Linked DNA regions of Oryctolagus cuniculus. The protein of the gene in region 2 purifies or fractionates together with the protein of the main gene of each other region. This does not show direct contact. Links are inferred from orthologs where the notes say so. Each region holds a gene or a part of one and is shown on either strand. Other genes may lie near its edges. The genes, in order: CBX1, CHAF1A, ASF1A, ASF1B and SETDB1.

Region 1 (4,249 bases), on a different chromosome or scaffold from region 2:
TTGAAGATTTGTTATGCAGTTGCAGAGAGAGAGGGAAATCTTCCATCTGCTGGTTCACTCCCCAGATGACCCCAACCCAGGGCTGGGTCAGCCTGAGCAGCCAGGAGCCGGGAGTTTCTTCCGGGGCCATCTTCTGCGACTTTCCCAGGCAGGCACATTAGCGGGAAGCTGGGTTGTAAGTGGGGCAGCCTGGACTCCAACCAGAGCCCACATGGGATAAAGGCTTCCATCGAAGGCTGCAGCTTAATTTACTAAACCACGACTTCGCCCTCAGATGGGGATCTCTGTTGTCTCCCTCTCTCCTTTACTCTGCCTTTTTTTTTTTTTTTTTTTTTTGACAGGCAGGGTTAGAGAGACAGAGAGAAAAGTCTTCCTTTCGGTTGGTTCACTGCCCAAATGGCCACTACGGGAAACCAGGAGCCAGGTGCTTCCTCCTGGTCTCCCATGGGGTGCAGGGTCCAAGCACCTGGGCCATCCTCCACTGCCTTCCCTGGCCACAGCAGAGAGCTGGACTGGAAGAGGAGCAACTGGGACAGAATCCGGCGCCCCAACCGGGACTAGAACCAGGAGTGCCGGCGCCGCAGGCAGAGGATTTGCCAAGTTAGCCGCGGTGCCGGCTTACTCTGCCTTTCAAATAAATTATATTTTAATAAAAAGGTCAGTATTAAAACTGTATGTTGGGGCCGGCGCCGTGGCTCACTAGGCTAATCCTCCTCCTTGCGGTGCCGGCACACCGGGTTCTAGTCCCGGTTGGGGCGCCGGATTCTGTCCCGGTTGCCCCTCTTCCAGGCCGGCTCTCTGCTGTGGCCAGGGAGTGCAGTGGAGGATGGCCCAAGTGCTTGGGCCCTGCACCCCATGGGAGACCAGGAGAAGTACCTGGCTACTGCCATCAGTTCAGCGTGGTGCGCCGGCCGCGGCGGCCACTGGAGGGTGAACCAACGGCAAAGGAAGACCTTTCTCTCTCTCTCTCTCTCATTGTCCACTCTGCCTGTCAAAAAAATTTAAAAAATAGAAAAAAAAAAAAAAAACCCTGTATGTTGGCTCAACCAATTAAGGGGAGGAATTCAGGAAGTCACGACGAATGGGAAGTAATCATTGAGCTGCACAGATTTGAGGAGGCAGAGATCGGAGATTACACAGGTTGAAAAATTTGAGAGAGATCTGAAAAAACTGGCAATGGATTTAAGATTCAGAAATTTCGAGGCTGTGACTCGTAGAACTGTGCATAAGTGGCTGATTTTTGAGACCTAGCACTAAGGATTTGCTGCCTGCAGCGTTCTAAAATGGGGTCTCTCTGCCTTTGCAGTTTAAAAACTAAAATTCCCGCACAGCCACGCAAGCCGGGCGCGCGGAGCGGGACTCGCACAGCCCTTCGGGACTTGTAGTCTTGGACGGGCACCGAGTCCCATGGTGCCTTACGGCGGGTCGTCGCGCCTGCGCGGTGCAGACGGCGGGCAGCGCAGAGTGCGAGGCTCTTTTGTTCGGCTGAGGGGAGGGCCGTTGGCCGGGGCCTGCGGTACGCCGCTTCAGCGAGGGGCTTGACTGCAGCCACCCGGCTTGTTGCTTTCTGGGCGCCACTCCCCCCCGGCCGGCCCGACGCGACGCGCCAGTAGCGCGACTCCGATTCTTCTCGAGCTCTTGGGCGCTGCTTTGAGGTAAAAAGCCCGCTAGAGGCGGGGGGAGGGGGCGCGGCGGCGGCGGCGGCGGCGGCGGCGGCGGCGGGAGCCCGGGTCAGGGGCCGCGTTGTCGTGGCGGTTGGGAGCGGGGAGCGCGCTCCGGTCCGGCGCCCTGTTCGTGTGTTCCCGCGCGGAACGCTGTGTTTGGCGCGGAGAGGCCGAACGCCCGCTGCGTGAAAGATGGAGAGGGCGGGGCAGTGAATCCCGAGCGAGAGACTGGAGAGGTTCGCGGTGGGCCGAGCGCTTGAGGGGCGCTTTTCCGGGCCTGGGTGGGTTGAGACAATGCGTCTGCGGGTTTGGACTGGAGAAGGGAAAACTTTGGGCGACTGAGGAGAGGTCGTGGTTGGTGTTTGGATTAAGCGTCGGGCGGGGAGGAGGGGACGCCTGCGGGACCTCGGGGTTTGCAAATGTAACCTGAGGATATTGGGCTGGGCGACGGCTGCCGGAGGAATTTGGCTTGCGGAGCTACGGCGAAGTAACTTGGCGTACATGGGACCAGGGGACCGGGCAGCCCAGGGTGTGCTAATGGAGGAAGATTCGTGGAATCCATTGGGAGAGAGATCCCAGAATTGGGAAAGACGGGTGCTTGCCGGGAAGCGGGGCGGGGGGAGCTGTTGGGGTAAGCAGGGCGACGTCCTGCGAATATTTCTGGAAAGTGTGGAAGAGAAAAGGGGCAAACTGGCCGCCCTTGTCTCCTGCTGGGGCGTTGCAGTGCGGGCCCGTGAGAGTAACGGGTGCGGAAAGCATGCAGCACTTGGCCTGCTTCGCCGTCCCAGCGTCTCTGCTACTTCCCCGAGTTTGTGTTTGGGATTGGTGCTGGTCTCACAGAGCGGGAGAATGGCAGGAATGCGTGGAGATGTTAACAGTAAGGAATGGAGTGAGGTCGGGAGAGAACTTGTGAGATGGGGTGGGAGAATCATTGTGGGAGGACATTTTTTCCCCCTTAGGGTCGGGTCGTGTGTTTTTAGCCAGCCTTTCTTTGTTGGAAATTCTGAATACAAAGTGAGCAGTACTTTACCCCTTTTCCAAAGCCACATGTGAGGGCTTCGTGGATTGTTGTTCTGTTTAGGCATGTATTGGCTTAACCCAGTTGAGGTGGAATTTTTGTTTTTTTAAGATTTATTTATTTTGAAAGAGATACAGAGTGAAAAGGAAGAGACAGAGAAAAAGAGATCTTCCATCCAAGTGGAATTTTTCTTATAATTTTTAAAAAAGATTTATTTATTGAAATGCAGAATTACAAGTAGGTAGAGCCAGAGAGAGGGAGACAGAGGTCTTCCATCCGTTGGTTCACTCCCTGAATGGCCGCAACGGGCCGAGCTGCGCAGGTCCAGAGCCAGGAGCTTCTTCCGGGTCTCCCACGTATGTGCAGGGGCCAAGGGCTTGGACCATCTAATGCTGCTTTCCCAGGCCATAGCAGAGAGCTGGATCGGAAGTGGAGCAGCCGGGACTCGAACCGAACCGGTGCCTGGATGGGAAGCCATCGCTGCAGGCCTCAGCTTTACCCTCTACACCACAACGCTGGGCCCCAAGATGGAGTATTTTTTAAAAGATAAGTTATACTAGAACCTGTGGCAAGAGGTAAGCTATCTCCTCTGTTGTGTCAAGAATTAATGTCAACAGTTTGAAATAGTTCTGAAAGGTCCACAGTTTTTGGAATTGATTTCAAGAACACAGAGGAAATTAGTGCCTAGTACCTGTGTTCCTCCCTAGATACCTCACAGGCGTTTACATGAAAGTATGATTGAAAAGCACCGGTGTTGGAGCTGGTACACCTTAATGGAGCTTCTGGGCAATTGGAGGATCTTCAGTCATTTCCAGTTTTCCCTGTGGCGATATTTTTCTTCTATGACTGCTGTCTTAAATCGCCTTTCATTAAAAATGTAAATATTGTGTAGCCTACTTGCTTCTTTATTAGAGGCGACCAAGTAAGGGTACCCTAGCCTTCTACTTTTTTTTTTAAATACAGAAATTAAAGGAAGCAATGTTGTTTTTTCTTTCCCCATTTTAGGGACTAGGAAAATGTTTTTTTAAAGTGCTTTAAAGCGGCAGCGCTGTGGTGTAGTAGGCTAAGCCTCTGCCTGCGGTGCCAGCGTCCCATATGGGTGCCAGTTCGTGTCCCAGCTGTTCTGCTTATGGCCTGGGAAAGTGGTGGAAGATCGCTCAAGTGCTTGGGCCCATGCATGTGGGAGACTCAGAGGAAGCTCCTGGCTTCAGATCGGCCCAGCTCCGGTGGTTGTGGCCATTTGGGGAGTGCACCAGCGTATGCAAGACCTTCTCCCCCCGTAATTCTACCTCTCAAATAAGTAAATTAAAAAAAATCTTTAAAAAATAAGTGCTTTTAAAAGAGCGCTGGTTACTTTTTGTTATCTTCTAGTAGTTTCTCCAGCCAAGTTTCTTTTTTTCACACTGTATCTGTCATGATATAACAGATTTTGTTTTAAAGGCAAGTGACTATATTTGTAGTCTGCCATAAGATGGGGCTATACCTCTTGTTCATCCTGTGTCTGGTACATAGTATGCCATTCAGATTGTTGATAGAAGAATGAATAGGGCTTTGAAATCCTTTCTGA
Region 2 (4,002 bases):
TGGGCCATCCTCCACTGCACTCCCGGGCCACAGCAGAGAGCTGGCCTGGAAGAGGGGCAACCGGGACAGAATCCGGCGCCCCGACCAGGACTAGAACCCGGTGTGCCGGCGCCGCAGACGGAGGATTAGCCTAGTGAGCTGCGGCGCCGGCCTAGACTGGCTTTTAAAACAAGGAGGCCGGCGTCCGCAGCTCGCTCGTAGTCCTCCCGCTGTCACTCTCAACCCCACTGCCACCAACACCTGTCACTGTCACAGGAGGTCGGAAACCTGGTAACAGCCAAGTCTTAAACCCAACAGCCAGCGGCTGTGTTTGCGGCACCGGCCACCCCTGGGAGCGCTGGCCCGAGTCCCGGCTGCTCCCGCCAAGCACCCCGGAGAGCAGCAGCCGAGGGGCTGAGCGCTGGGCCCTGCACCCACGTGGGAGACCCGGATGCAGCTCCCGGCACAGCCTGGCCCGGCCCCAGCCTTTGCCCGTTTGAGGAGTGAACCAGCGGATGGAAGACCTCTCTCTCCTCCTCTCTGTAACTGGGCCTTTCAAGTAATTAAACCTAACTTAAAAACAACAAAACAAAAACAAAGCCACACCCGGGACCCCCCGTTTGTGCACACAACCCAGCCGCGCCCCCTGGCCTGCAGGTGGACGCGCTTCCGGCCTTGCCCCGGACACGAGTGGGGACGTCTCTCCCTACACCACAGCGGCTCTCGGCCGGGGCGGTCCTGAGACCCAGGGGACGCCTGGTTGTCCTGGCATTGGAGACGTGTCTACGCCCGTCACCCGCTCCCAACCGCCCGAGGACGGGAGACCCCACTGTCCACGCACCCGACCTGGGGAGCTCAACCCCGAAAGGCTCCCAACTCCCACACAGGCTCGGAGCGCGGACGCACAGCCGCGAGGGGAGAGGCGCAGAGGCCGCTCCCTGCCACGGGCGACGAGGTGGGCGTGCGGTGTGCACGGAGCACGGACGGCCTCCCTCGCGGCCGGCCAGGGAACCCCCACTGTATCTGCAAAGACGCAACTGTTTACCCCCCCCAGACCCCCAGGAGCCGGCGAAGCCCCGCCCCCGCCCCAGCCCAGCCCGGAGAGTTACCTTGTATTAACTTCTTAACCGGGAAGGCGGCTCTGCCTTTGCAATCCATGGCTGCGAAGAAGAAGAAAAATGTGTCAGAGGAAGAGCCGTTAGCTACAGCCAGGGGACACCGGCCACACCCAGAGACAGCCCACCACAGCCCGAGCTGGCCAGGCCCGAGCCGGGACAGGGAGCTCCCCGTGCGGGGCGGCTGGGGGACAGCGGGGCCCTCCTCCTCGCTGTGGCTGCAGCCACTGGCCGTGCGTGAGCACAGCACCAGGAACACGACCCCGCCGCCCCTGCCGCCCCCGCCGTGCCCGGCTGGCCGCTGGTCTGTCCAGCCGCGACCTCGGGATCGGATGCCACGCAGCCCGGGGTACCAGCCGGAGAGCAGCTCCGCCGCCTGCCAAGGGAGCCGGCACGCAGGGATCGCCCGCAGAATTCTGGGAGAGCTGCCCGGAGCGGGTCAGGCCAGGGCCCCCCAAAAGCCGCCTGTGGCCACTGCCCGGGCTTGGGGAGTGACAGGGGCAGGGCACAGTCGCCGGCCAGTGCCAGGCTGAGCCCCCCGCTCCCCGCCGCCCACACGGGGAACCCGGGCTGCACTCCTGGCCCCAGGCTCCGGCCACCGTGGGCACTTGGGGACCGGACAGGGCGGCCTGCGAACCCCTTCCTTTTCCAGCCGTGCACAGCACCCGGGCTTGGCCACCGCGCCCAGCCAGCCCGTCCTCCCTCCTTCAGCCGCGGGCCTGGAACATCCGAGGCCTGCTAGCCTCAATGCAAGGGCCCCCAAGCAGGGAGGGGGCTGGGAGGTCGCCCCGCCGCACAGCCGCGGGGGACACGTCGCAGGGGTGGGGTGGGGGGCAGGGATGCTGCTCCACCTCCCCACGGGCTCAGACACCTCGGGTCAGACAAGGCTGCTGCGGCCACCCGAGCAGGTCCTGGGCACCTGCTGAGCCCCGAGCGCAGGCGTCCGGTGGGGAGACACACGGCTCTCGACCACCCCCTGACGGTTTTTGGGGGACCCCAGGCAGGCCAGAAAGACTCCTATTGTCACCGGCAGGGGCAGAAACCCGGGGGCCCAGCCCCCTAACGATCGCCACCATCCAGGCCTCGGACCTGGGCTTGCCCCCCCCCCGGCGCCCCGCACTGGCCCGGGCGGCCTCCTGCCTCAGTTTCCCCACCCGCTGCAGGCGCCGAGCTGCCCAGCGGGCGCCAAGGCCCGCGGGAACCTGCAAAGCCGGCTCTGGGGGCCTCCGTGGGCCTCGGACGCCCGTCCTGGCCGCCCCCGAGGGCCCCGCACGGACAGACCGACCCCAAAGCGCCCCCCGGGGGGGGGGGAATGAACGCGGTCGCGGCCGCGACAAGAACGTCGGCGCCGCAAGGCCGTTGCCCGCGATCCCGAGGCTCCAGGGCCGCCGAGGCAGGCCGGCCGTCGGGAGGCCCGTCGCCAACCGCCGTCCCGGCCAGCGCGGGCCGCGCGCGCCGCGCCCCCCCGCCGCCGCCGCCGCCGCGCGGGCCCGCACCGACCTCCGGCCGCGGCCCTGGCGCCCGGCGCCCCGCACTCCGGCTCCTCCAGCATCGCCGCCGCGGCGGCTCGGGCTCCCCTCAGGCGGCGGAGGCGCGGGCTCCGCTCCGGCGGCCGCTGCTTCTCGCCCTCCCGCCCGCGCCGCTGCTGCCGCGGCCGCTGCGCTCGTATTTGGCGGGAACCGCGGCGACCCCCGCAGCCCTCACGCCGATTGGCCGAGACGGCGTCACGTGACTGCCCGCCTCGGGAAGCGAGGACCGCCGCGAGCATCCTCGCGAGAGCCGCGGCTTCCAGTCCTCCCACAGGTTCCCCCATTGATCGCGGGGCCGGGGGGAGGGGCTGTCCAGCGGCGGCCTGCGATTGGCTGCGACGGGACGCGCTGCGATTGGGGGCGAGAGACGTCAAGCGGCGAGCCCGGCGTTGCGATTGGCGGAGCGCGTGGGATAGGTCTGCGGGAGGGCGGGCCAGCCTCTAACGTCACGGGAACGTGTGACGTAGGGCGCCGGTGACAACTTGCAAACCGGAGTTTGGCGAGAATTCTGAAGTGTGGCGTTTTCCTCACTCGGGGCTGGGCTGAGCCTAGCAACAGCCGTGGGCCGTATGAGTTATCAGGGGTCCCGGGGTCCCTGCGCTGCGCCGGCCCCAGCGCCCCGGCCCCGTGTCCACGCCCGGCCCTGTCCGCTCGGCTCCCGCGGGGCCGTGCCCGCTGCGGCCGCTGCGTGAGAACGTGCATTTGCAGACCCTCGAGCCCCCGGGCCCCGTCCGATGGCGGATGCCTAAACGCTGGATAAAGTACATCTGCGAACCAGAAATATCGACGCTGGGCGGGCCGGGCAGGTGCAGAGCCGGACACACCCGCGGCGGAGTCTGGACAGAGGCACCGACTTGCTTTCTTCCTTTTAAAGAGATTTATTTATGTATTGAAAGGGAGAGAGAGATTGAGAGAGAGAGGTCTTCCTTCCGCTGGGTCACTCCCCAGATGGCCACCATGGCCAGAGCCGGCCCGATCCAAAGCCAGGAGCCAGGAGCTCCATCCGGGTCTCCCACGCAGGTGCAGGGCTCCCAGCACTCGGGCCATCGTCCACTGCTCTCCCAGGCCACAGTAGAGAGCTGGACCGGAAGTGGAGCAGCCGGGACTCGAACCGGCGTGCATATGCGATGTGGCCCTGCAGGTGGCGGCTTTACCCGCTGGGCCCCAGCGCGATGCTAGGGTTTACTTTTTTAAATGAGGGATTTGAAAGGCCGGGGGTGGGGGGCGGGAGACCTTCCACCCTCCCCAGAGGCCCACAGTGGCCCGAGGCTGGGCCGGCCCGAGCTCGGAGTCCGGAACGCCCACGTGGGTTGCGGGGCTCTCGGACGCGGGCCCTCCCAGCGCACTGGTCGGGGGTCGGCCTGGCTGTGGAGCGGCTG
Region 3 (2,485 bases), on a different chromosome or scaffold from region 2:
TAGCATATAATTCATTTCAATCCCCCTTTTAAAGTCATGCCAAAAAGGAATGGAAAGTTTCCCCTTAAATTAAAACCACACTTTATGTTTTAACAGGAAGAAACATCTTAGTTGAAGTGAACTTTCTTTTTTCAAAGGCCAGAAAAAATAATGTTCCAAAGATTACTGTCCGAGAGGCTAAGACATCTTCACAACCTGGTCTAAGGATTTATATTTTTCTTTATAAGTGCTTTAATTACATATAAAGGAGAAGAAAAATAATATATATGCTTTAATCAAATTAGTTTCAGAACAAATAAAATAACACATTAGAGAAAAAATTACTTAAAAATAGTTGTATTTATATTCCACAATTTGCTCAAATACTGGTTTTCTTATAAACTTTCTACAGGATGTTTTTAAACAAATTCTTCACATTTTGTCTTGACTATGTACTTACGGAATTTCAGGGAAATAGTTCTGTGTATTTTTAATAGCTTAATTTGTACTAAAGGGATGGCAGGTGGTCACATGCAGTCCATGTGGGATTCTAACATGACATTTAGTGAGTTTTCTGACGTGGACCATCCCTTTGAGGCAGAAGGTAATGCATCTGTTGACAGAAGTGACTGTAGATTTGGATTACTGCTCTCTGCATCTTCCAGTTTTTCTGTGTTGTCTTCCCAATTAATGTGGAATCTTGTGACCCTGGGATTAGATGCCAAAATGTTCCTTTGAAGCTAGAAGAAGGAAATATATAAATGGTAAACATTACCAAAGTTTAATCACCCTATGCAAATAGATACTTAAAGAAATGGGTCCTTTATGTTAGCACTCCTGAAGGGTTACGTTCATATACAGAAGTATAGGACAAATAAAGCACTTTAGCATAACTAATAAACAAGGACTAGGACCATAGCAATTATTTTGGCTTAATAGGAACAAGATATGGAGAATCTGAGGGAATTCATTCAGATCTTTTACTATACTATGAAATATCTATTCTTCTACTCTTGTACTTCTATTTCCTAAGAAGGGAAAGAAAATTTCTCCCAAATACATCTTCTTGCTATTAGTGATTTCCTACCTTTTAAATATTATGGTTCATTTTTGGAAACAATAGTCTAGTTTCTTCTCTTTTCTGTTGTACAAGTTACCAAACAGATAACCAATAAATTTGATCTATGAAAGGATTGGCCAGGATGAAAAACATTCTAGCCTTATTACCAGAAAGTTGAACTTTATTCTACTGCCATGTGACTTTCCTTGTATTGCCTGGCAGACAGAGGGCCCTATTCAACTTCACTTGATTTGCACCCTCTCAAAATCACCAGTTAGTAAACTGTTACAGTTCCCAATGAAAAACCATAAAGGTACTAAGTATCCTTGAGAATAATGAATCACAGATTTCAGCTTCTCAGTGTTTAAGCTATTTGCTATCACCTGAAATATTTAAGACCTTTACTTTATCTGCTGTTCCTACAGAATAAAACTAAAGCATATAGGTACTTTGATATAAGCATAGATAACTGTTTATATGAAAAGCAGACACAAACACAGACTTCCATGTCATAAAAGCTGAAGTGAACATGATCTATGGGAAATGCCATATAAGAAGCAGTAAACAAGTGCCCATTTCTTATCAGAGATACTTAATGACTTGCATAGAGAAAGGGTTTGAGGTCACCCATGGTAAGGGAACAATGATTAGTTTGCCCAGCTGGCCCAAAGACATCAAATTTACTTTGTCTCAAACTGCCTAAAAAATTGTATAGTAACAGTAATTAAAAAGGAATAGTAAGACATTACCTTAGAAAAGTCTGGTTTTACTGGCGGATTTTCCCTTAATTCTGTCTCAGTATATTCATTATTTACATAGTAGCCAACTCTAATAAATTCTTGACCTCGATAGGTACAAGTAATTAGCACAACTGTTACGCCTACTGCATCAGCATCTGGAATGAGTCCTGGATTAGGTGCATCTGCCTGGAATAATTTAAAAGAAACATACACAAAAGGCTGTTAATGGCAGGCGAGATTGGAGTTGTAGTTACCCTGAGCACTTTCAGTTGAACATGGAACAAGAAAAACTTGGAAATCACATTGGGAAGACAAATGCTTACATTTGGGATTGGCCTAAAGGTAGATATATAGCTCATGTTTCTCCACAGTATCCTCAAGTAGCTTCATTAAACTTCCAGAGGGAAATAATTCTGGTTACTGTGTGTGTTGGTTCATGAGGAATTATGCAAATTCATTATAACTTTTTATAAAATACTTAAACAATTTAATCAATAGTGCTATTGGTTTTAACTTTTTCCAGTTATAATTTTCAGACCTAAATTAGTAAATACTAAATTATTTCCACACAACCAGTTGGCAACAAATGTTTTTTATACCAGTTTTCCTTTTCTCCCCAGGACACTTATATTCTCGTACCTATACAACCACCTCTCACAAATATTCTAATAGTAATTTAGTATAAAACTGAACACAAATAGCTACA
Region 4 (4,153 bases), about 3.2 Mb from region 2:
TGGGAAAGCAGTGGAGGATGGTCCAAGTCCTTGGGCCCCTGCACCCACATGGGAGACCAGGAAGAAGCTCCTGGCTCCTGGTTTCAGATCAGCACAGCTCCAGCCGTTGCAGCCATTTGGGGAGTGAAACAGCAGATGGAAGATCTCTCTCTGTCACTCTCCCTCTCTGTAACTCTATCTTTTGAGTAAATGCTGATGGAAGAACTCCCTTCTCTCTGCCTCTGTGCCTTTCAAGTAGAAGAAATCAACCATTAAAAAAAATATAAAAACGCATAAGGGCCAGTGCTGTGGCCTAGCAGGTTGAGGCACTGCCTGCACCACTGGCATCCCACAGGGGCACTGGTTTGAGTTCCAGCTGCTCCACTTCTGATCCGGCTCCCTGCTAATGTACCTGGGATAGCAGCAGCGGATGGCCAAGGGTTTGGGCCCTTGCACCCACGTGGGAGACCTGGATGGAGCTCCTGGCTTTGGCCTGGCTCAACCTTGGCCGTGTGGTCATCTGGGGAGTGAACCAGCAGATGGAAGATCTCTCTGTAGCTCTGCCTTTCAAATAAAATAAGTTCTTAAAAAAATACCTACCAAATACAGGACATAACTGTATACACACAGTCTATCTAACTTCTGAACACGATTAAAGGCACGTCAATTACATTTTGTTCTGATCCCCAATTTTACAGGCTGAACCCCGCACAGGATACACCTCTACTCCGTATGACAACAAATGCAAAGCCAATGCTATGATTAAACACACGTTAAGAAAGTGATGGCCGGTGCTGTGGCACAGTGGGTTAAAGCCCGGGTCTGCAGTGCCGGCATCCCATATGGGTGCAAGTTCGAGTCCCGGCTGTTCCACTTCCGATCCAGCTCTATGCTATGGCCTGGGAAAGCAGTGGAAGATGGCCCAAGTGCTTGGGCCCCGGCACCTGAGTGGGAGACCTGGATGGAGCTCCTGGCTCCTGGCTTTGGATCTGTGAAGCTCCAGCCGTTGCAGCCATCTGGGGAGTGAACCAATGGACAGAAGACCTATCTCTCTCTCTGTAACTCTACTTTTCAAATAAATAATGAAACAAATATTTAAACAAGAAATCATTGTCGTTGAAGAATCTGTTTCCCATTTGTATTTATCTGGGAGTGACAGAGGAGAGAGACAAAGGCAGGCGATGGGGGGGTGGGGGGCAGAAAGAGCAGGATCTTCTACCCGCTGGTCCACTCCCCAAATGCCAACAGCTGGAGGTGGGCCAGGCCACAGCCAGGCGCCTGGAACTCCCCGTGGGTCTCCCGCGTGGGCGGCAGGGGCGCACAACAGCGCGCAGCAGCAGGAAGCTGGGTCGGAAGCTGCGCGTCCAGGACTCCAGCCGAAGCGGCGCTGCGATCCGGTGACCAGGCGGTCCGGAGCCGCAGTCTTCGAGCCGTACTGCCCGTGGCCTTGGCCTCGCGGGGCGCCTGCTGTTTCAGCTCCCTGAGGGGCTCCCCCGCTCCCCGCAAGCACACGCACCCCTGATGTACTCCGTGCGGCCCCTGGGAGTCAGGGGGCCCCCGACTGGGGGCTGGGAGAGGAAGAAGGAACTCAGAGGCGCCCCACACCAGGGTTGCCCAGGCTCCTGTCCCCAGACATCACGGCCCCAGCGACGCCCCGCCCCCCGCCCGGGACGCGCAGGGGGTCAAGGCGGGGGCTTGGCTCCTGGGCCGCAGGGCCCGGGGCGTCGCAGGCACCCACTTCTCAGATAGCGCCTGCTTTTAAAGCAGGCCTACGGCACCCCACCCGCGTCACCTGGGAACTCAGACGAGGGGCCCCTCGCCTCTCCTGCCGGCCTTTAAAGCGAGTCTCAACCCCCGCCAGCTTACACTTTTATTTCCGCCCTGCGTGTCCCAGAGAGCCTCCAGCCGGCTTACTCCACAGTCAGCCACAGGCGGCGGCCGCCCCGCGGGCCACCCCCCTGCCACCCAGCGGCCTCCCCGGCTCCGCCCTGGAGCTGAGCGCTGGGTGCACGCAGGCCTTGGCCCCGGCTGACCCCGGCGTGCGCAGGGCCCGGGGCTCCGGGTGGCTGCTGTGCCCTCCCGTGCGCCACGACCACCACCCCGCCGCGGGCCCCGGGCGCGCCCACCGCCCACCGGACGGCGTCGGGATAGGGAAGCCGCGGGAAGCCGGTCCGGGGCGCGCCCACCGCCCACCCAGGCCCACGGTCGGACCGGGAAGCCTCGGGAGCCGGGACGCCCCTCCACCGCCACCCCGGGGGTCGCAATGACCCCCGGACGCGGTCATTTAAACACTGGGCAGGGCACGGCTGGGGCGGACACGGGGGCGAGGAGGGCGGCAGGGGTGGGGAAGAGGCAGGGGGCGTGGGGGTCTCCGCCGGTGGATGCGCCTCTATCATTAGGAAGCGGTGCCTGGGAGGAGCGCCATTGCAAGAGAGGGGGGTCCTGGGGTTTGGGAGGGGGCGATGGGGGAGCGGGGGGGGCTAAGCGGACGGAGGGAGGGGGCCCCGGGGGGCTTCGGCCTGGCCACGGGGCGGCTCTCCACGGGGAGGTCGGGGTCAGGGTCGGCCCAGGGCTGGGGTGGGGGTCTCCGCACGGGTCCAGCCTCACCGTCCGCCAGGGCCTCACTGCACTCGAAGCTGATCTCGAACCGGAAGGGGCTGTGGAAAGGGCTCGGGTTCTCCAGCACCGACACGTTCAGCACGGACACCTTGGCCATCGTGTCGCCGGGAGCCGGGGTCGGGGGAGCGGGCAGAGGGGCAGCGTCACCGGCGGCCGCTCCCGCCTCCTCTCGCCGCGGACTGCAACGCGCACCGCGTCCGCGCGCCGCCTTCAAATCGCCGGCTCCGCCCTCTAGCCAATCACCGCAAACGCTCCGCGGCGGCGCGAGCGCCCCGTCAGCCAATCCGCGAGCGCCGCTGGCGCGCGCCCGGACTCCTCAAACCAATCCGCGGAGCTCCCTCTCCGCACGCGCGCGAGGGAGGCGGGACCAGCTGTGGGCTTCTCGCGGGGTGGCCGCGGGGAACCAATCCCCAGCGTCTCCGACTCGGATGGCGGGGGCGGGGATGGGCGGAGTCAGAGCCCGGCTCTCGGCCAATCCTGAGGGTTCCCGCACAGGCGGGGCCCGCCCCTTCTCGCAGCTTTTCCGAGAGACGCATCCTTGAGGGAGCAGCACCGCCAACGGCCGAGCGGTGGCGCGCGGCGCTCGCTTAAGAGCGTGGGAAGGGCGGGTACTCGCGGCCGCCGTGATTGGCAGGCAGGAGTGGGGCGGGGATAAAGCAGGCTTTTGGAGACCTAATTGGCTGAGGTGGCTGTGGGGGCGGGAGCAGAGGAAGGCGTGTCTGAGGATTCGCGGGAGAGGAGCGGAAGTCGGGGGCCGGCGCGGTGGAGGAGGCGCGGCGGGGATGCCGGTGCGTGTGTGCAGGTGGGCGTTTCGGGCCGGGGGCTCCGGCTGCTGAGGCCGTGCGCGGCCTGGGGGGTCTGCGGTGAGCGGACGCGGAGTCCCGGCCTGGGGAGTGGCGGTTCGGGTCCCGCTCCCGCCCAGTCAGGGACCGGACGGCTGCGGGGCCAGGGCCTAGGCGATCGTATTTCCAAATGTGTTATGGTGCATCCGAATTCCACCCCGAGCAGAGTTCTTAGCACGATGTTTTCTAGGCGTTTAACTAAACATTTATTTATTCTCACCTTGGTGAATTTTTTTTTTTTTTTTTTTTTTTTGCGCCGTCCGTTCCCGACCCCGGGGAAGGCCGTACCGGGGACTCCGTCTCCGATGCTGGGAGGAAGAGGAGCTGGCTGCGTGATTGTCGCTGAACCCCAGATCCCAGCGCCAAGCCCCAGAGGCGTATCCTGCTTAGCGGGGAACCGAGATCTCTGCAGTGGGCCCCGAGGCCCCGTCTCGCGCCTGTCACCCTCCCCGCCCTGCCCCTGCCCACCCCCGGGCTCCCTCCTGCTGCAGGGCCTTGTGCTCCCTCTGGGGCCGGCGCTGTGGCGCAGTGGGTAAAGCCGCCACCTGAAACACTGGCATCCTATATGGGCGCCGGTTCGAGTCCCGGCTGCCCCACTTCCCATCCAGCTCCCTGCTGTGGCCTGGGAAAGCAGGAGAAGATGGCCCAGGTGCTTGGGCCCCTGCACCCGCGTGGGAGACCCAGAGGAAGCTCCCAGCTCCCAACTTCCAGGC
Region 5 (3,513 bases), on a different chromosome or scaffold from region 2:
ACCCACATGGGAGACCAGGAGAAACACCTGGCTCCTGCCTTCAGATCAGCACGGTGCGCCAGCCGCAGTGGCCATTGGAGGGTGACCCAACGGTAAAGGAAGACCTTTCTCTCTGTCACTCTCTCACTGTCCACTCTGCCTGTCAAAAAAAAAAAAAAAAAAAAAAAGTAATTAGACCTGAGTTCAGGTTCTGGTCTTCCACTTTGGAGCTAATCCTGTTATCAGCTATAAATAGGAGATATTAATACTGACACCCACACTCTATCCCCAAAGGGTTTTAAATGACCTAACAGACTCTTTCTTTATCTGGTGCTGGTTAACACAGTATGTTTAGTCTGAAAATCCATTGACTATGAACTTTTCTGTATATTTTTCTTATGTATATTATACTTTGAAAATCTTCTTTAAAAACTTTTAAAAAATACCATTATAGCACTGCTTTGAAGATAGATAGAATAAGAGAGTGTAAATTATGCAATTTACATAGCAACAAAACAAAGTGTATGTTCAGTAAGTAGAACTGCTCTTACTGTCTTTATCCAGAAGGATGTGACTAATGTCATTAGCCAAGAAATTGTTTTATTATCCTCTTCCCAAAAGTAAATGTCTCCCTGCAATTTATACCAAGAAGTATAATCCTAACAGTGAGCAAAGCAAATCAAGCAGAAGCATTGGTACCCGTAACATTTCCAGTCTTATCAGCATAGCTGTTTTCTTCCTTTAATGTTCATATTTGCTAGATCCCTCTGATTAACTTTAATAGTTTGTTTTAAAAGTAATTAAGTTGTTAAATTCTTCAACTGATTAATTCCTTTAAGGTAGAGATTATGACCTCTTTGATTATTCCCAGTGTCTAGCACAACTATTATTATTTAATAAGTGTTTACTGAATGATATGATGAAAACCAACTTTACCAAAGAAAAGTCCCCATAAACATCCATACCACCTTCTCTTTTCTCTTTAGACATTATATGTGTGTGTGTATAATATATATATATTGATATATATATATATATATAAAATCAGTATATCAGCCTCTGCTTTTCTTACGTATCTTTATGCATCTTTTTTCTGAAAATTGACGGACTCTATATACTTATTTTAGTGGCTCTGTAATCTGTATTCACGTCATGGTTTTCTTAGCCTCTTTCCAGGTGTTAGGAATTCTGGCATTCACTATTAGAACACTGCTATAAACATCGTTAATTCCCTTCTAAGTTATTTCTGTGAGCTATATTCCCAAATAAATGAAACAGCATAGACAGTTCAGTAAATCCACTCAGATCATTACCTAATTTTTAATCTTTACCCAGGACACATTGTAAGTAATGATAGCTTAAGAATTATAACTGTTTTGTGCGTTTCTATTGCTCATCTCATGGTTGATCTTTCTAATCTCCCAGGGTATATGAGTGTAACAAACGCTGCAAATGTGACCCAAACATGTGCACAAACCGGTTGGTGCAGCATGGACTACAGGTTCGCCTACAGCTATTCAAGACACAGAACAAGGGCTGGGGTATCCGCTGCTTGGATGACATTGCCAAAGGCTCTTTTGTTTGTATTTATGCAGGTTGGTGATGGATATAAAGGTTGTTTCCTGGGTCTGGGATGTGGTGGGGAAATGAACCAGATGCAAGTTGAGCTTACGAATAATGTGCTGGACATGTGAACTGAGAGAGAGAGGAGCCAGGGCTCGCTTCTGTAGAGAACCTGTGGAGGTTCACAGAGAGGGACACAGGGCTTTGGAAAGACAGAAATAAAAAAGGGGTAATGTTTTAGACGTGATGATGTTCCAGGGGAGAGACATGATTGCAGAGTCCAATGTATTGTCCTCCCACGTTTCTCCACCCAAAGATTTTTTTTTTTAGCATGGCTGAGAACTGTTGTTAAAGAGGAGGAAATGGGCCGGCGCCGCGGCTCACTAGGCTAATCCTCCGCCTAGCAGCGCTGGCACACCGGGTTCTAGTCCCGGTCGGGGCGCCGGATTCTGTCCCGGTTGCCCCTCTTCCAGGCCAGCTTTCTGCTGTGGCCAGGGAGTGCAGTGGAGGATGGCCCAGGTGCTTGGGCCCTGCACCCCATGGGAGACCAGGAGAAGCTCCTGGCTCCTGCCATCGGATCAGCGCGGTGCGCCGGCCGCAGCATGCCAGCCGCGGCGGCCATTGGAGGGTGAACCAACGGCAAAGGAAGACCTTTCTCTCTGTCTCTCTCTCACTGTCCACTCTGCCTGTCAAAAAATAAAAATAAAAAAAAGAAGAGGAGGAAATGGGAGGACAGAGAGGACAAGATTAAAGCTACAGTAAAGGAGGTATCATCGAAGAGAGACACAAGAGACCAAAATGTAGGCATTTTACCTCTGTGCTGGAGCACTGGGTGTGGGTGGATGGACACTTAATCTTTCCAAAAGGGCCCCATAACCCTAGAAAGCCTTTAATTCTCTTCCTCAGGCAAGATCCTGACAGATGACTTTGCAGACAAGGAAGGCTTGGAAATGGGTGATGAATACTTTGCAAATCTGGACCATATCGAGAGCGTGGAGAACTTCAAGGAAGGATATGAGAGTGATGCCCCCTGTTCCTCTGACAGCAGTGGTGTAGACTTAAAGGACCAGGAAGATGGTAACAGTGGTACAGAGGATGCTGAGGAGTCCAATGATGATAGCTCAGATGACAACTTCTGTAAGGATGAGGACTTCAGCACCAGCTCAGTGTGGCGCAGCTATGCTACCCGGAGGCAGACCCGAGGCCAGAAGGAAAATGGACTGTCTGAGATGGCTGCCAAAGACTCCCGTCCCCCAGACCTTGGGCCACCACATATGCCTGTCCCTCCCTCAGTCCCTGTAGGTGTCTGCAACCCACCTTCCTCCGAGGAGACACCCAAGAACAAGGTGGCCTCGTGGCTGAGCTGCAATAGTATCAGTGACGGTGCTTTTGACTCTGATAGCCGCTCCTCCTTCAAGACTGGTGAAGGTAGCGCTGGGGGAGGCCGAGGGGAAGCTGAGAAAGCCACCGCCTCGGCACTGGGCATCAAGGACGAGGGGGACGTCAAGCAGACCAAGAAGGAGGTAAGCAGTAGCTGTTAGTGTTGATGTTAGTAACCTAACTTACTTGACGGGTATTTCTTTGGAAACCTATTTCCCCCTTTACTCAGCACATTTCTAGAATGTGTTTAAAGAGGCCGGCGGTGCCAGCACTCCGGGTTCTGGTCCCGGTTGCTCCTTCCAGTCCAGCTCTCTGCTGTGGCCCGGGAGTGCAGTGGAGGATGAACCAGGTGCTTGGGCCCTGCACCCGTGTGGGAGACCAGGAGGAAGCACCTGACTCCTGGCTTCCGGTCGGTGCAGCACACCAGCCGTGGCAGCCATTTGGGGGGTGAACCAAAGGAAAAGGAAGACCTTTCTCTGTCTCTCTCTCTCTCACTGTCTAACTCTGCCTGTCCAAAAAAAAAAAAAAAAAAAAAAAAAAAAGTTTAAAGAACCAAATTCTTTTAGGATTTACTTGGTTGGGGATCAGAGG

The links.
Region 1: the proteins of CHAF1A (region 2) and CBX1 purify together in Homo sapiens (affinity purification with mass spectrometry; 4 studies listed by BioGRID and IntAct, with this or other methods). This does not show direct contact. The link is inferred for Oryctolagus cuniculus from reciprocal best matches to the Homo sapiens genes CHAF1A and CBX1.
Region 3: the proteins of CHAF1A (region 2) and ASF1A purify together in Homo sapiens (affinity purification with western blotting; 3 studies listed by BioGRID and IntAct, with this or other methods). This does not show direct contact. The link is inferred for Oryctolagus cuniculus from reciprocal best matches to the Homo sapiens genes CHAF1A and ASF1A.
Region 4: the proteins of CHAF1A (region 2) and ASF1B purify together in Homo sapiens (co-immunoprecipitation; 7 studies listed by BioGRID and IntAct, counting the BioPlex papers as one, with this or other methods). This does not show direct contact. The link is inferred for Oryctolagus cuniculus from reciprocal best matches to the Homo sapiens genes CHAF1A and ASF1B.
Region 5: the proteins of CHAF1A (region 2) and SETDB1 purify together in Homo sapiens (affinity purification with western blotting; 3 studies listed by BioGRID and IntAct, with this or other methods). This does not show direct contact. The link is inferred for Oryctolagus cuniculus from reciprocal best matches to the Homo sapiens genes CHAF1A and SETDB1.

Annotation. Positions count from the first base shown.
Region 1 is NC_091448.1:24,381,021-24,385,269, reverse strand, and holds the start of CBX1 (chromobox protein homolog 1), read left to right. Parts: upstream 1-1,443; 5' UTR 1,444-1,655; intron 1,656-1,698; exon of another isoform or gene 1,699-1,945; intron 1,946-3,086; 5' UTR 3,087-3,257; intron 3,258-4,249. UniProt on the Homo sapiens protein: Component of heterochromatin. Recognizes and binds histone H3 tails methylated at 'Lys-9', leading to epigenetic repression. Interaction with lamin B receptor (LBR) can contribute to the association of the heterochromatin with the inner nuclear membrane.
Region 2 is NC_091447.1:59,780,492-59,784,493, reverse strand, and holds the start of CHAF1A (chromatin assembly factor 1 subunit A), read right to left. Parts: upstream 2,804-4,002; 5' UTR 2,647-2,803; coding exon 2,595-2,646; intron 2,549-2,594; exon of another isoform or gene 2,249-2,548; intron 1,140-2,248; coding exon 1,089-1,139; intron 1-1,088. UniProt on the Homo sapiens protein: Acts as a component of the histone chaperone complex chromatin assembly factor 1 (CAF-1), which assembles histone octamers onto DNA during replication and repair.
Region 3 is NC_091436.1:51,459,746-51,462,230, forward strand, and holds the end of ASF1A (histone chaperone ASF1A), read right to left. Parts: intron 1,966-2,485; coding exon 1,789-1,965; intron 720-1,788; coding exon 507-719; downstream 1-506. UniProt on the Homo sapiens protein: Histone chaperone that facilitates histone deposition and histone exchange and removal during nucleosome assembly and disassembly.
Region 4 is NC_091447.1:62,994,152-62,998,304, forward strand, and holds the start of ASF1B (histone chaperone ASF1B), read right to left. Parts: upstream 2,809-4,153; 5' UTR 2,696-2,808; coding exon 2,587-2,695; intron 1-2,586. UniProt on the Homo sapiens protein: Histone chaperone that facilitates histone deposition and histone exchange and removal during nucleosome assembly and disassembly. Cooperates with chromatin assembly factor 1 (CAF-1) to promote replication-dependent chromatin assembly.
Region 5 is NC_091438.1:47,127,625-47,131,137, reverse strand, and holds part of SETDB1 (histone-lysine N-methyltransferase SETDB1), read left to right. Parts: intron 1-1,404; coding exon 1,405-1,574; intron 1,575-2,448; coding exon 2,449-3,065; intron 3,066-3,513. UniProt on the Homo sapiens protein: Histone methyltransferase that specifically trimethylates 'Lys-9' of histone H3. H3 'Lys-9' trimethylation represents a specific tag for epigenetic transcriptional repression by recruiting HP1 (CBX1, CBX3 and/or CBX5) proteins to methylated histones.